Linked DNA regions of Sus scrofa. The protein of the gene in region 1 interacts with the protein of each later gene in a biochemical or structural test. Links are inferred from orthologs where the notes say so. Each region holds a gene or a part of one and is shown on either strand. Other genes may lie near its edges.

Region 1 (3,500 bases):
CTGCAAAACTAAATTTCCTTTGCTAGTCTTTTAGTGTCTGTTAGAATAAAAGTAGTAAGGGAAGGCTAAATATAAACTATAAACATGAACAAAATTCATCATTACTGTCACAGAGTGATAACTAATTAATAAGCCATATCTATAGAGTACCCACAGTTTGTAAAGTAAGGAACACATTAGAACCATAACTAAAAGCTCAAGAGTAATGTTATAATTTTGTGGATATACTATGACAGGGCTGAATGTTTTAGAGGCTGGGGGGGCATTGGTTCCTTTTCTTGTGAAATACTTGTATGATTTGGAAGGTAATAATTCTTAAAAGAATGTCTTAACATTTATGAGATTTAAAATAAAATATTTTCTGTTCAAAATAGAAATGAGAGTTTATTAAGAGTCATTTGAATTTGTTTTCTTCCAGAAATCGAGCTATAGCAGATTATCTTCGTTCAAATGGCTATGAAGAAGCATATTCAGTTTTTAAAAAGGAAGCTGAATTAGATATGGTATGTTTAAATTTTTTTTTTTGTCTTTTGTCTTTTTAGGGCCGTGCCCATGGCATATGGAGGTTTACAGGCTAGGGGTTGAATCGGAGCTACAGTTGCCAACCTGTACCACAGCCACAGCAATGCCAGATCTGAGCCGAGTCTGTGACCTATACCACATCTCATGGCAAGGCCGGATCCTTAACCCACTGAGCAAGGCCAGGGATCGAACCCACATTCTCATTGATACTAGTCAGGTTTATTAACCACTGAGTCCGACGGGAACTCCATTGTTTAACTTTTTAATAATTATTTCATGGTGTACTTAATAAGTGTATTTTACTCAATTATCAGTAGTTAATAGTCACCTCAGTTACTCAAAAATCTTGTCATTTGTAACTGTGGTTTATTTGGCACTAAACTCGGTATACAGTCAGATATTTTTAGTAATGTTTGGGCTTGTAGATGAATGGTCAGTATGGCTTGAACTGTTGTACTTGAACCATGTTTTTTTAAAGGTTCTCATTTTTTTCTCTAGAATGAAGAATTAGATAAGAAATATGCTGGTCTTTTGGAAAAAAAATGGACATCTGTTATTAGATTACAAAAGAAGGTAACTAAGTCTTTTTTCTTTTAAGTTAGTTGTATTCAGAGTATTATACAAACTTTGAAAGTATCAATAGAACATATTATTATTCTGTATTAATTAATATATTTAACCTTGAAAAGGCAAATAAAAATACATTTCTCTACATTAAAAAAATTTTTTTTTTTGATCTATTCAGATCATTGTTGATATATGCAAACTAACTTATGCATCCCAGGCTGGGTTGAACCTAACACAACCTCGACTTTAAGGATTTGATACTTAAGAGCCCATTTATACAGTTAAATTGGAAGAACATATGGAGTTGATATGATCCTGGGAAAAGAGCACTAAAATGTGCACTTAGATAAGACATTTTCATCTCTGAGCTTTTGTTTTTATTTATAAAGTGAAGGCAATAAGTAGTATTCTGGTCCTAAAATGTATACTTTGGGTAGGCAGAGTTAGAATAAATGACATTATACTGGGAGTTAATCTATTAAAAGCTCTCAGAAAAGTACCTAACATAGATGCTTATTAATATTAGCTTTTTTATTGTGAACATTGTGATTAGTATGTATAATGTAAACTGCGGTTTGGAAAGAATTTATTGAGAGTGGCAGACTTAGATGGAATCAAGATAGGTTCCCTACTTGTCCTTAATTCATATCCTGGTACCTTCCAAGTTTTTCTTTTGAGTTAAGTGGTCAAAACTCAATTCTATTAAGGCTTTCTCAGTTTTTAGTTTTGTCACACTACTAAAATTTTGGTGATATATAATACAGATCTCTTTCAATTAAATCTGACAAATGTTTTTTAAATTACTAAAATTTTATTCTGCATATATGGATGCAAAATAAAGGCAGTTTTTAAAACACCGAATATGCTATTTTTCAGAATCTATCTGTACGTAACTATGTGTTCTTTCTCAAGGTTATGGAATTAGAATCAAAACTAAATGAAGCGAAAGAAGAATTTACGTCGGGTGGACCTCTTGGTCAAAAACGAGACCCAAAAGAATGGATTCCCCGTCCACCAGAAAAATATGCATTGAGTGGTCATAGGAGTCCAGTTACTCGAGTCATTTTCCATCCTGTGTTCAGTGTTATGGTCTCTGCTTCAGAGGATGCTACAATTAAGGTAGTTTTTTTTTTAAAAAAAATTGGAAGACATACAATAGGATGATTGTTAGAAGCAAATTTAATGTTAATTGAGTGAAAGAAATCAAAAGATCCTGAAATGAGGACCTAAGCAGAGGGACAGGAGGGCCTTTTTGAAACTGTGATTGGTTCTTAACCTTAAAAGACAGAATTAGAATAAAATTTCATTGTAGCTCCTTAGAGACAAACTGCCAAACTAATTTACTGATGAATTTGAGAACAGTGAGTATCACTAATTAAGCATTGGACAATAAACAATAGGTCACCTAGTGCTTGAGTAATTTTTGTTCTTGGAGAATAAAAATATAAGTGTGTGTCTTACTTATAAGCAGAGATGTTAGATGAAAATACAGGATTATAAAACTAGTAATTCAAGGGATGAATATAATTCTGCAAAAGAATTCAATAGAGAAATTTAAATTGTACTTTCCAAACTTAAGTAGTTCTCCTCAGGGGTGTGGGAATGTAGAAGCTTTTCACTTTATAAGCTATGTATTTCTCTGATTTTTATATTTTTCACGATAAGCATATACATGTTTTTTTCTTTTTACAGCTGCACCTGTGGCATATGGAAGTTCCTGAGCCAGGGGTTGAATTGGAGCTGCATCTGGGGCTTACGTCACAGCTTAACGGCAATGCAGGATCCTTAACCCACTGAGCAAGGCCAGGGATCAAACCCATGTCCTCACAGAGACAACGTCCTTCATCCACTGAGCCACAATGGGAACTCCCATTTTAATATTTTTTAATCATAAAAAAGTTGTTTTTGTAATTCCCTTTGGTCCAGACATAATACATTGACAGTTGTATAAACCACCTACAGAAAGGTAAGTAAAATACAGTTTTAAAAATTTAGGTTTCTCTATTCTGAAGCTTATTTCAGATTAATTTCTAGATTTTAAGTTTTCATTTGTAGAGGTATAACTAAGAAAATGTTTGTGGGAATTCCCATTGTGGCTCAGCAGTTTAAGAATTCAGCTAGTATCCATGAGGATGCAGGTTAGATCCCTGGCCTCACTCAGTGGGTTAAGGATCTAGCATTGCCTCAAGCTACAGCATAGGTGGCAGATGGGGCTCGGGTCTAGCCTGGCTAGCTCCATTTCAACCCCTAGGCTGGGAACTTCCATATGCCACAAGTGCAGCCCTAAAAAGCAATAAAAAAAGAAAAGGAAAAAGAATTACAAATGAAAGTTTTAAAAGTTTTATCTATAATCATACAGCATATCTCAACAACTACTGAAAGTTCTCCCTTCCATTTAGTCTTTATGTAAC
Region 2 (3,962 bases), on another chromosome or scaffold:
TCCTCTACCTATTTGTAGGACAAGTCGGTTGTAACCAAGGCTCTTGATTATCTGAAACGGGAAAAAAGAAAAAGGGACCCTTTTAAAACAGGCGACTGTAAAAACAGCAACTATGGCAACCAACTCCAAAATCGGAGCACGGGCGGCCAAAGAGTCGAACTGGAGCCGAAGTGTTAGTTTTCCTTCTTCCCCGATTCCGGGCCCGACAGGGCACCTCGCTAGCCCTGAGGGATCTAGACGCCCCAGCTCACCACATCGTGAGAGAAATGGGCCCGCAAGAACTAAGAGACCAGGCAAAGGCTCTGAAAAAGGTGTCGCGAGCTAGGGGGAGACCAAGGAACAGCTTCGTCGTGGTCCCACAGATGGAACTGCGCGAACCTCACGCCCTGAGAGGGCGCTGCGGGGATACCGGTCGCGAGGGCGCCTTAGGGAAGGAAAGGCGCCAGGGCCCGAACGCGGCGGGGCCGGACGAGGGCAGGACGGGGCGGCGCGCCAGGCTGAACTGGTCGGGCCGGGCCTGACGGAGCGCGTCGACCGCGCGGCCCCGAGCGGCCCTGAGGAGCGGCCGGCGAGGCGGGCAAGGGCCCGAGAGGCGGGTCGGAGCCCCGGCTCGGAGAGGCGGAGCCGCTAGAAGGAGGGGCGAAGCCGGAGGACGGAGAGGCGGAGGCGGAGAATCGGAGGGGAAAAGCCGGGGAAAAGGAGGAGCCGGAGAAAGGACGGGGAGGAGCGGCCCGGGAAGGCGGCGGGGAACGGGGAGAGGAGGCGGAGGACCCTGAGGAGCGGGGGAGTGGGAGGAGGGCCCAGCTGGGCGCGGGGAGGAGCCGGCCGAGGGGCGTCGGCACCTGAGGTCGAGCGGCTGGGGGTTCTTCCCGAGGACCGCGGTCAGGCAAGGTTACCGAGGTTAGCGGTCAGGCTGGCGGCGGCGGGCGGCGAGCAGCGAGCGGCGAGCGCAGCGCGGCGAGCCCAACCGCCGCCCGCCTGCCTCCCCCACTCACTTGCAGACTGTCGTGCGCCGATACACACGCAATCAGGTCGTCAAAGCTGGTGGTCCCTACAGTAACAAACACGCACTTCATCGCGCGGGTTCCGCAACCCCGAATCGCAAGGGCCGGATGTGACGTAGCAGAGCCACGCGGGCTGCCGCGGCAGCGCTGGGTGTGGGAGGCGGAAGTCGGCCCCAGCCGCCAGGGGGCAACGGGAACCCGGCCTGTGTTGCCGGGAATGGGAGGGGGCCAAAGACTGCTAATGGCCTACGTGCAGGCTACTGTTGTAAGCCCTTTGCGTGTAGAAGCTCACGGGACCCTCACAGTAAGGAGGTGGGCAATTGACAAATGTATTGTTTTTCAAAAGTGGGGGTTAAAACAAATAGTAGTGAAGCCTTACACCTTTGTGTTTGCATCCTTGCTCGAGTACCACAGATCTTTTAATGGTAGAGAAGTTTGGGATTCTTTTTTGGCTACCGTGTTTTGCCAAGATAACGTTTTACTTCAAGTCTGTGAAGGGCATCGGGAAAAAAAGAAGTGCCTTTTCAAAATCGCTCATTAGCCTAGGCTCTTCTTCAACAGCAGTTTTCGAGAAACCACAGCCCTACAAAGTCTCTTGGAAACTGCAGAGAAACCGTAATTTCCATTTGCAAGCATTGTTTGTAAAATAGAGGCGTTAAGCCCTGAAGCCCACATTTGTGTCGTTGAACCAATCCATTTAACCATTTAAATAATAAAATTACCATAAATTTACATTCTAATGAATGTAAAATTATATATTAGCATGACTGAATACCTCATATACTTAGGTTTATGAAGTGAAATACAGGAGAGTTGATTTCTGAAGGCTCCCCTTCTTTCTCCTTGCACCATTGCTAAGATCATTGCCTGCTTTAGCTCATTCTAATGGTTTGTGTATTTCCTACTTAAAATCTCAGTTTAGCTAATATTTATGCTTTGCCCTGACTGGTTATACATGGAAGGGAAACTATGAGAAGAAATTCTTTTCAACACAGAGGATTGGTAGTGAGTTAGGCCTACAACATAGGCTAAAAAAAAGAACAAATATTAGTCATATTTCTAATGGGACTGTTAAATCTTGCATTTTGACTAATTGTCTTTTTGAGGGGTGGTATACTGCTGCCTCTTTCTTGATACCAAATTTCATGAATTAATGAAACTACAGTTTCATAATAACAACATAGATCATGGTTAAATAATAAAGCAAACATAATCATATTTTCTGCCCCAAAATAAGAGGAATAAAGAATGTTTATTGGAATATAAAGACAAAAATACTCAGTAATTTAGAAAGACTGCATCTGATATCTTTTCCCATATCTGAAAGATGTAAATTAAAGGAGCACTGTTCTGATTAGCTCAGAGAAAATAAGCACATATATAAATTGAATATTCTTAAATTCCCAGAAAATAAGAAAACTGAATTTCTGATGAACCAAGCCCCCCCTAAAATTGAGCTTCCTTACCAATTAATGATTTATCTCTCCTTCCCTGAAACTATTCCCTTGCTTGTCTCCTCTGATCTCAATTCCTTTCTTGTCCCCTCTGACCTCAATCCTGTTCTAGCTGAACCCTAATCAGCCAGAGTCAGACGACTAAAATTGCTATTGTTATATCATCATTAAGGTAAAAACTCAGGTAGTTTCTCCAAGGCAAGATGAGCTCACAGGCCTCCGAGCCAGACCACCTGGCCAGAGAATCCTAAACCAGAGACCTCTTGACTCCTGAAATCACGATAAAGGAATGTCACAAGACAATGATTAATTCCAGCTTCTTCTTCCCCTTTAAAACATCCCTAACTAAAAGACCAAGAAGGAGTGGATCTGAGACCTGTATTCCTCTCCTTTGCTTGGTGCCTTGCAAATGAACATTTACTTTGCTGCAAATACCCTCTGCCAAGTTTGGCTTTCTATGCCTCAAGCAGAGGAGCCCCTGCTTAGTTACATTGATACATTTAAAGTGCTAGACTTTAATAAAACATCTTGCAGAAACATTTTAAGAACCCAAGATGACATAATTGATGGAAAATTCTGGCGATTAAGTCTTTTCTCTGTTTGGCAGTGTTAAATATAATACAAGCATGCACAATCATGTATCATTTTCCTAAACTTATACAGCCTTACTAGTTAAATAAATTAATGTTACTTCTAAAAAAAGGTTTTTTTAAGGCCACACCTGCAGCTTATGGACGTGCCCAGGCTAAGGGTCAATCGGAGCTGCAGCTGCCGACCTTCACCACAGCCACAGCAACACCAAATTCAAACCTTGTCTGCAAGCTACACCACAGCTGGGGGCAATGCCAGATCCTTAACCCACTGAGTGAGGCCAGGGACTGAGGGCAGGAATCGAACTGGCATCTTCATGGATACTAGTCAGGTTCTTAACCCAATGAGCCACAATGGGAACTCCTAAAAATGTTTTTGATTATGAAAATGTAAATTTCTTTTAAAGTCATGTTGAATCAGCATTCTGACAAACTTTGTTTCAACAGTAACTATGTTTTATAGTAAGCCAGCTTGAAGATAATTTCCAAGATCTTTTAAGCACCTTTAAAAAGATTGTGTATTGGCATTAATTGAGTTAATTAATGTGTAATTGTTGCACAACTACTTTTTAAGTAAAATAGAATATTGAAACATTAGTTTAAGCATAATTATTTTTTAATCAATATAAATTTTTTTATTTTATGATTTTTATTTTTTCACTATAGTTTATTTACAGTGTTCTGCCAGTTTCTACTGTACAGCAGAGAGACCCAGTCATATATATGTATGTATATATTATTTTTCTCACATTATCCTCCATCATGTTCCATCATAAGTGTCTAGATATAATTCCCTGTGCTATACAGCAGGATCTCATTGCTTATCCACTCCAAATGCAATAGTTTACACCTATTAACCCTAGACTCCCAGTCCATCCCACTCCCTCCCCCTCCCCCTTGGCAACCACAAGTCT
Region 3 (4,196 bases), about 4.9 Mb from region 1:
TACGCCAGAGCCACAGAGACGCGGGATCTGAGCTGTGTCTGTGACCTACACCACAGCTCACGGCAACGCCAGATCCTTAACTCACTGAGCAAGGCTGGGGATTGAACCCGCAACCTCATGGTTCCTAGTCGGATTCGTCAACCACTGAGCCACGAAGGGAACTCCGAAAACTCCTTTTTCTAGTTGAGTGACATTGGGCAACTTCATCTCGCTTAGTCTCGGTTTCCTCATTGGTAAAATGGGAATAATAACAGTACCTATCTCATGGGGTTATTGTGAGAATTGAATTATGCAGACAAAGCCTTTGGCACACCTGCCAGTACATACAAAGGGCACAGCAAAAGTAAACTGTTCAACCTGCTCTCCTTCAGAGTCTAACTCAAAGTTCCATACTTTCTAACACCCCAAATCACTTTTCAGATTTTCACTGGACATCTCTTAGAATCCATTTTGTGCTGTTCCCCTTTATGTCCATGCCTTGAGGCTCGTACCAACACATCATTGTGTCCAAAAGCCCCACAAATCCAGTCCCAAGAGCACTGACATAAGAGAATTACAGGGTACGTGAAACGTCCAAAGTTCCTAAAATTGCTTTTAAAACACTTCTCTTTCTCCAAGTTTCCACACACTAATCAGCTGCCCTTCATTTCTCTCCTTTCTGAGCCAGTCTCTCCCCACCTTCTCCCTCCACACCCCCAAGTCTTCTTCTCCAAGTCTCCTAGGGGATGTACATATATATGGATTCCATTAGTTGGGGGCCCTGAAGGGATGAAAACACGTACGCACATATGTACATATACATGGATATATTTATATTCCCTTGGTGCCCTCAATGAATCCATTCACTCATTCAACAAATATCTGAGCACCCACCCTGGGACCAAGCTATCTGCTGGGATAAGCAAGGAATGAGGTTCCGGTTCTCATGGAACTTACATCTTACTGGAGGAAGACAAGAAGTAGCATAAAATTTCAGCTAGTGGACGTGCCCTTAAACCGACATAGCTCCGTGTGAGAGTGTGACGGTGCTAGAATACACCTGGTACGGTATTGGGTGGTCGGGGTGGACTCGGATGTGAGATCTGAGCCGAGATTCTTCTTTCAAACGGGAACCCCGAAACAGACACTTGTAGGGTTTGGTGGATGAAAACTGGGAGGCGGGTTCTCATCTACGGTAGTGCCACTTTCCGGAACGCAGAGTCTTTCCGGGGACCCGCGAAAGTCGTAAACGGCACGCCGCGCGGGCCCGGGGCGCCTGCGCAGAAGGCCTCCGCCAGCCTGACGTCAGCGCGCCGGCCCGGCCCGGCCCCGTGTGACGCCATCCCTGCCACAGCCCCGCCCTAGCCGCCCGCGCGCTCGTGCGCATGCTCGGGCCCCGCCCCCGTGCGTCACAGAATGGCCTCGGACACCCAGGCAGCCTCTGACGTGTCGGGGAGGAGCCGGGCGCGGAGGTGCGCGGAGTGGAGCTCAGGACTGCGGCGGGGAGCGGAGCCGAGCGGCTGGGCGGGCCTGGCCAGGCCAGCGGAGCGGAGACGTCGGTCGAGCGGTGGCGAACATGCGCTTTTGACACATTGGAGGTGAGCCTGCCGTGCGGGGCCGCTCCCGAGGGCGCCGGACCCGGCCGACGGCGCCGAGGCCTGTCCCCGCGGAGCCTGCCAGCCCCGGGGGCTGTGTCCGAGCCCCCGCCGGGCTGGGCCGGGCCCGGGTTCTGGGGCGGCCAGTCCGGGGCCAACTGTTTCAACCGCTCTAACTGCCCCCTCCCCGCCCTGGTCCGAGGTGTGGCCCACCTGGGGCGCCTGGAAGGGAGCGAGCCGGGCGGCCTCCGGAGGATGTGCCCGCATCCGGGGGTGGGGTGAGGGATGGCGGGGACGGAGGCCGGGACGTGGCACCGTGGGCCGGGAAGCTGGTCGCGCAAGGGGTGGCTCCGCTGGAGGTGGCAGCGGCGCGCCCAGCCCTCCCCCTCCCCAGCCCCCATCCCGCATCCCTTCATCTGGAGGGTGGTTCGGAGCCAGGTTGGATTCTGAATTCTCGTTGCTTCTCTCCCACGGGGGGCGAGAGCGGAAGCTGCCCACCTTGAGCTCCGGTGGCATTCCTGTGATTGCCAGCTCCGAACTGCTAATTACCCCTCTCGGAGTTCAGGAAAGTGTCACCAAACGGGTTCGGGTTGCTTGTACTCGCCTTTGTTTTTTAGCTGGTAAGCAACGAAGTGACCCTTTTAAGGTTTGCCTGGGAATTGAGGGTGCTTCACGGATAATTTCATTACGTTTCTCTAGGCGCCTTTACACGTTTGAGAACACCCTTGTTATCTCGGCTTTGAACCTCATCACCTCGTTAGTGGTTGTCTGTGATTCTACCCATAGAGAAATTGAGACCAGGTCGGGTGGGGGTTTTGGTGATTTATTCTGTGGATTCCACCAACCAGTGAGAGGCTTCTCTTGGTTCAGAATTTGCGTCTCCCTGCCTGGAGTTGTGGTTTCTTTCCGTGAGATTTTTACATCCTTCTCAGCTGGAGAGCAAAATAGTAAATTTGACTTGCCAGAACTATACCAGAAGCTAGTAGAAGATTTATTCAAATTTTTTTCAGCAGACCCACCTAGGATGAGGATTGCTGCTCAGTTTTAAGAAAAATCCTACGCTGAAACTTGTCCACGGTTGGCTAATTATTTTGTCTGATAAGTTGTGTTGCTTTTAATTTGTTTATGAAAGAGGGTAATGGCTTTGCTAAGTCATGAAGTTGGGGGGGTAAAATGCAGCATTAAGTCGTGTTGAAGAGAATAAAAGGGAACTAAAATATTTCCTCTGAATTTTTATTAAGTTGTTTAAAATCAGATGTCATAAGGAACAAAATCCCCCCTTTGGCCAGCCCTGGTTTCACATTGACCTGATTCAGATAGAAGTTGCTAAATCTTATGAAGCTTTTTTTTTTTTTCCTGTTTTGGCGTAAATTTTTTGTTTTTGGCTGTGGTGTGCAGTGGCTTGATGTGGGATCTCAGTTCCCAGACCAGGGATTGACCCCAGGCCACAGGTGAAAGCCCCAAATCTAACTACGCTACTGCTCTGGAATTCCCTGTTTAGGTTTTTTTAATTAAATAAATTGAAATTGGGTGAGGAATGCTTAAAATAAGTAGAAACCTCAGTAAAAACTTAGATGTTGCTTTCATGATCTCTCCAACACTTATTTTTATTTTCATGTTAAGTCATGCTGGGGTAAATTTGGTTACTAAAGCTTAAAATTACTTCTGACATAAGTTTTTGCTCTTTATAAGGTAGAAAAATAAGTCAGGACCAAGAGGGAGACCATATTTATGCTCAACTTTGAAAAGTTTGAAATTCTGTAATTGTTACTTTTGGGAGAAGTAGAAGAATTTCGTAAAAAGGTATTTATTATCTACGGTGAATTCCAGAAGAACTTTTCCAGCCTCAGGAGTCCATTCTGCAACGATCAACAAAGAGACAGTTCATATAAAATGAATTTTCTTACCATTGCACAAAGAATAGTTTCTTTGTAAATACAGCATTTTGAAAGGCTGTTTTATGCCGTAATGAGTTGATTTGTCAGCTGCCAGACAGCTGAAGGTCATATACCGTATGCTAATGACCCAGGTAAGAGTTGTTTCGGGGTCACGCCCCATCCATGAGACGCCCCATCCATGAGACGTGGCGTTGAGGGAAGATTGGGTATCGGCAAAGAGTATATGATCATCTACCCTCATTTCAGCTTCAAGATTATAGATGTGTCATTAAAGCTAATTTATTTATTTATTTGTTTTTAGCAGTGTAGTTTTCTGTGTTGGCCAACTCTCTATAGCCTGATATCTCCAGTTACAAAGTTTCAGATAACACAGTGAACACATCCTCCTGCTGTAACTTGAAGCAAAATGAACAGATTGTCTTTATTGCCCCTGAGAACATCTTTTGAATATCTGCAGTGGCAGCACATTTTTGTTATCTGTAAAAAAAAAAAAAAAAAATCTGATTTTTGGAAAGAATAAATCTGATGAATAAAATTAGCGTGATTAGAGTGATAAAGCTGGATGATATTAGGAAGCAGTTGAAGCGAGGTGGGACCACAAAGAAAGAGCTTTTTGTTTAGTTTTTAATCTAGTTCATTAAGGCTATTTCTAAAGAGATTGTAGAAATGTTTTCAGTAATGGTGGTATCACTGAAATATGCACATAGCTTCCAGAAGTGATTAA
Region 4 (4,032 bases), on another chromosome or scaffold:
AGAAACAAGTATAGCAAATTTTTTTCAAGTTTTGCTGTCAAAGAGATTTTAAAATTGGGATAGGAGTTCCCATCGAAGCTCAGTGCTTAACGAATCTGACTAGGAACCATGAGGTTGCGGGTTCGATCCCTGGCCTTGCTCAGTGGGTTAAGGATCCGGTGTTGCAGTGAGCTGTGGCGTGGGTCGCAGATGCAGCTTGGATCTTGCGATGCTGTAGCTCTGGCGTAGGACGGTGGCTATAGCTCTGATTGGACTCCATGTGCCGCAGGAACGGCTCAAGAAAAGGCAAAAAGACAAAAAATAAAATAAAATAAAAAATAAAAAAATAAAATTGGAATGGTAGGAGGAGAAAAGTTTGTGTGGGGGGGTCATAGAAGAATAAAAAAAGAAGTGGCATTAAAGTATATTTGTAAGTTAAAAGGGATGATCCAGAAGAAAGAAAATTGTGATGCAGATTCATTGAGTAGGGAAAAAAAAAAATTCTGATGCAGGAGAATTAGGAAAGGATAGTAAGAGTAGAATCCCTGAAAAGACTAAGATGATGAAATTCAATACAAAAGTAGAGGGTTTGGCCTTAGATGGCTGGGGTCTGTCCCGCACAAAAGTGAAGTTCGAATTTAGCACTCATTACATAATTTGCATGAAACTGCGCAAAATGACAATGCGGGGTTGGGGGTGGGGCTCTTGTTAAAAAATATTAAGAGTCTCAGGACTGCAGCAGAAGAGCATTAACCCCAGCACCAAGGGACTTTCTAAGTCCGGGTCCCCTGCGACTGCACAATTTGTATGGAGTATGTGATGACAACAGGGGTAGGCTGTCTTTTGGGGCAAGTTCCCTTCTCCTTTCTGGGCCTCAGTTGGCCGATGGAAAACTTGGAAGAGATGATTAAGAACGCTTTACCGTTCTACAAGCTCAGCGGTCACTCTCAAGGCGTAAATTCAAAGTTTGTGCTTTTTCAACTTTCAGGCCCGCGTGATTTGAGCCCAGGGTTTTCTGGAAGGCTCCAAAAGGTTCCTGGTGACCATAGCAACTCACACCAAACTCAGAGGCCTTCGACTCCGCCCACCGCTCACGGACGCGCTCTTTGATTGGCTCAGCAAGTCGACCAATGGTCAGTGAAGCGGGCTGCTTGCCGCACGGTCAATGGCCGCTGGCCACAAGGGAGGCGGGAGGAGAGAGCAGGCGGGCGGGCCAAGGCAGCGGGGCGCGTGCGTGTTTCCGTCTCCGCTGCGGAAGGCGGAGGACTGAAACCGTTGCACCGGACGCGACCCGAAGGCGCCGAGAGCGCGGGACGCGAGAGCAGAGCTCAGATTTCGGAGCGTGGCTAGCAGCTGGCAAGATGGGTGGAGACCAGGAGGAGGATCGTTTCGACGGCATGTTGTTGGCGATGGCGCAGCAGCACGAGGGAGGCGTGCAGGAGGTAACGACCCGCTCGGCATTGGCTTGGCCTGGCCCACCCAGGCGGCCCAGCCACTCTCTTTCCTCCCTTCGCTGCCTTCGAGAGACGAGATCCACCCCTGGGCCTTGCGGGCTTTAGGATCCCGCATTCTCATTGCACCCCAGCTTCTAGTCTGGCCTCCCCGCCGCAAGTCTTGCGCTCGGACCAGTTCTGGATCCCTGGGGCCCCTCAGTAGTTACCATCTTAACAGCTCTGGCATCCCTTTATCTGCCCCTGGGAAGGCCCGAGTCTTGGAATCCCTTCCCCCTCTTTAGTCTCCAACCTGCTTCCGGCCCTTTTCCCCTCTGGTGGCCGCCCCCAAAGAACATCCTTTAGGATGTTCTAGGCATTGAGATTTGCATGTACCAAGACTTGGGGCGAGCGGAAGAATGTATGCGATGTGTGGGGGTGGGGGGGGTGATATTAACACGTGGTCTTTCTAGATCTTGAATGAGAGAATAGGAGGCGTGTTTTGCATTTCCTAACAACTTGGACTGTTTCATGTCTCCAAGCTTCAGTTTCTTTCTTTGAGACAGAGCTACGAATCCTTACTTCCTGAATTTGTAGGAGAGTAGTGTCTTGAAGTGAAGGACAGTGAAGAATTCTCGGTAATCAGACTCGAACATTCAACAAGTGTTTGTTGAGTAATTGATGTGTGCAAGAACATAATTCATGCTTAGTGACCAAACCCAATAACATGTGTAGGAAAAGGATAAGGACCAACTAGTAAAGATTCTGGAGTTGGTTTTTTGGACGATGGAAAGTTAAACGTAGCAAAACCTATCAAGATTAGTCTTTCTTTAAAGAAACTGAAGGAGCTTGCCCAAGCTCATCCAACAGGCTCCTGGCTTAGAGGGGACCAGAATCCTTAGGCCAGTGTGTGCTTTCCACAGTCCATTGTTGATTCTGTGTCTCATTGGAGCCTTCCATTCCCATTCTCATTCAGGTCCCTGTGGGAAGAGTGCTACTAATTTGCAGATGTGAAAGTCTCCCTTCTCCTACCCCCCTAAATTGTTGTTGCACCTGGATTTGGAAGTGAGTTCATTTTTGAGTGAATTGAAAAAGTGTCCAGAAGCAGGAATTGAAACTGTTGAGATAAATTCTAGCGTCAGATTTAGAACCTCTCACTTGGGCAAATAAAAGGGCTTATTTATATGTGCCAACCCTCAGTCATCACTAGATCTTTTTGCTCAGCAAAAGTTTTCTGAGCATGCACTCTGAGCCAGGTCTGGTGCCAGGCCTTGGGGATGTACACAGAGTCATGGTTCATGGTGCCTACTTGTGAGGAGCTCTCTCTGTGGCCGAGGTTCTTTAGCCAGACGCTATTAAGGACCTCACCTGCATGTCTTCCTTTGGTCCTCTCAAGGATCCTCACGTGTATCCCTAGAAATTGGTCCTGCTGCTATTTCTGTTTCATAGAGTTAAGACACTGTCCCCAGGTCACAGAGCTAATGTATATCAATCTAATGGCCAAAACGATGCTCTTTTTTTTTTTCCTTTTTAGGGCCACACCCATGGCATATGGAAGTTCACAGGCTAGGGTTTGAATCAGAGCTGCAGCTGCCAGCCTATGCCACAGTCATAGCAACGCCAGATCCAAGCCATGTCTGTGACCTGCACCACAGCCCACTGCAACGCTCGATCTTTACCCCACTGAGCAAGGCCAGGGATCGAACCCATGTCCTCATGAATATTAGTTGCGTTCATAAGCACTGAGCCACAACGGGAACTCCCAAACCGACGCACTTAACAACTTGACTGCACTGATGCACCCAGCCAGAGTTAGCTGGTTTTGGAGTTCCCTGGTGGCCTGGTGGTTATGGATCCAGTGTTGTCCATGCTGTGGCTTGATTTTGATCCCTGGCCCCAGGAGCTTCTGTAGCTAACCTCCCTCCTCCCCTCAAAGAAAAAAACACCAGAGTTAGTGGGTCTTAACCTTCTTTGAAGTGGCCTTCTTTGTTCTCTCCTTCCAGCTCTGCCCTAGTAACTCAGCCAGCGCCACTCTGGATGGGCTTTTTGCTACATGGAGAGGAAAGCTAGGCCCCAGGCATTTCAAACCTGGATGCAGTGCCCCATATCCTCAGGCTGCTTCTAGCATCACAAAAAATGTGAAATACACATATGCATATACACAAGAAATGAGAATTCTCCCTTTCTGTTGCTCTAGATCAGGTTAGGTTAGGCTTCCTGGCAGAAGTAACTAAGGCAGGGCTGTTGGGGGGGATGTTTTCCCAGTTGGGAGGCTCAGGGTTGAAATGGTCCAGTCCCAAGTTCCTTCCTAGGTGAAGGAGGTTGCTTGTGTGTGGTTAAGGGGCTCCCTGTATGGCACCTCTACAGCTTCAGTCTTTTGCCTTCTGTCTTTCAGCTTGTGAACACTTTCTTCAGCTTCCTTCGTCGCAAAACAGACTTTTTTGTTGGAGGAGAAGAGGGGATGGCAGAGAAGGTGAGTGTTGGCGAGCTTACCTGGCCTTCCTTTGGCATAATAATAACCTTTCGCAGAAGTTAACACGCCAAGGGCAAGAGTTGGGGAAGGAAAGCATTTACTGTCATTTATTGAAGTCCCTTTCCTTGCCAAGTGCTTTATCTACCCTGC

The links. The genes of interacting proteins can lie anywhere in the genome.
Region 2: the proteins of PAFAH1B1 (region 1) and DCX form a complex in vitro, tested with the Homo sapiens proteins (2 studies listed by BioGRID). The link is inferred for Sus scrofa from reciprocal best matches to the Homo sapiens genes PAFAH1B1 and DCX.
Region 3: the proteins of PAFAH1B1 (region 1) and NDEL1 form a complex in vitro, tested with the Homo sapiens proteins (3 studies listed by BioGRID). The link is inferred for Sus scrofa from reciprocal best matches to the Homo sapiens genes PAFAH1B1 and NDEL1.
Region 4: the proteins of PAFAH1B1 (region 1) and NUDC form a complex in vitro, tested with the Homo sapiens proteins (3 studies listed by BioGRID). The link is inferred for Sus scrofa from reciprocal best matches to the Homo sapiens genes PAFAH1B1 and NUDC.

Annotation. Positions count from the first base shown.
Region 1 is NC_010454.4:48,710,329-48,713,828, forward strand, and holds part of PAFAH1B1 (platelet-activating factor acetylhydrolase IB subunit alpha), read left to right. Parts: intron 1-418; coding exon 419-503; intron 504-1,020; coding exon 1,021-1,095; intron 1,096-2,001; coding exon 2,002-2,208; intron 2,209-3,500. UniProt on the Homo sapiens protein: Regulatory subunit (beta subunit) of the cytosolic type I platelet-activating factor (PAF) acetylhydrolase (PAF-AH (I)), an enzyme that catalyzes the hydrolyze of the acetyl group at the sn-2 position of PAF and its analogs and participates in PAF inactivation.
Region 2 is NC_010461.5:91,641,773-91,645,734, reverse strand, and holds the start of DCX (neuronal migration protein doublecortin), read left to right. Parts: upstream 1-1,162; 5' UTR 1,163-1,316; intron 1,317-3,714; exon of another isoform or gene 3,715-3,773; intron 3,774-3,962. UniProt on the Homo sapiens protein: Microtubule-associated protein required for initial steps of neuronal dispersion and cortex lamination during cerebral cortex development. May act by competing with the putative neuronal protein kinase DCLK1 in binding to a target protein.
Region 3 is NC_010454.4:53,600,408-53,604,603, forward strand, and holds the start of NDEL1 (nuclear distribution protein nudE-like 1), read left to right. Parts: upstream 1-1,396; 5' UTR 1,397-1,577; intron 1,578-4,196. UniProt on the Homo sapiens protein: Required for organization of the cellular microtubule array and microtubule anchoring at the centrosome. May regulate microtubule organization at least in part by targeting the microtubule severing protein KATNA1 to the centrosome.
Region 4 is NC_010448.4:84,237,463-84,241,494, forward strand, and holds the start of NUDC (nuclear migration protein nudC), read left to right. Parts: upstream 1-1,232; 5' UTR 1,233-1,340; coding exon 1,341-1,421; intron 1,422-3,804; coding exon 3,805-3,882; intron 3,883-4,032. UniProt on the Homo sapiens protein: Plays a role in neurogenesis and neuronal migration. Necessary for correct formation of mitotic spindles and chromosome separation during mitosis. Necessary for cytokinesis and cell proliferation.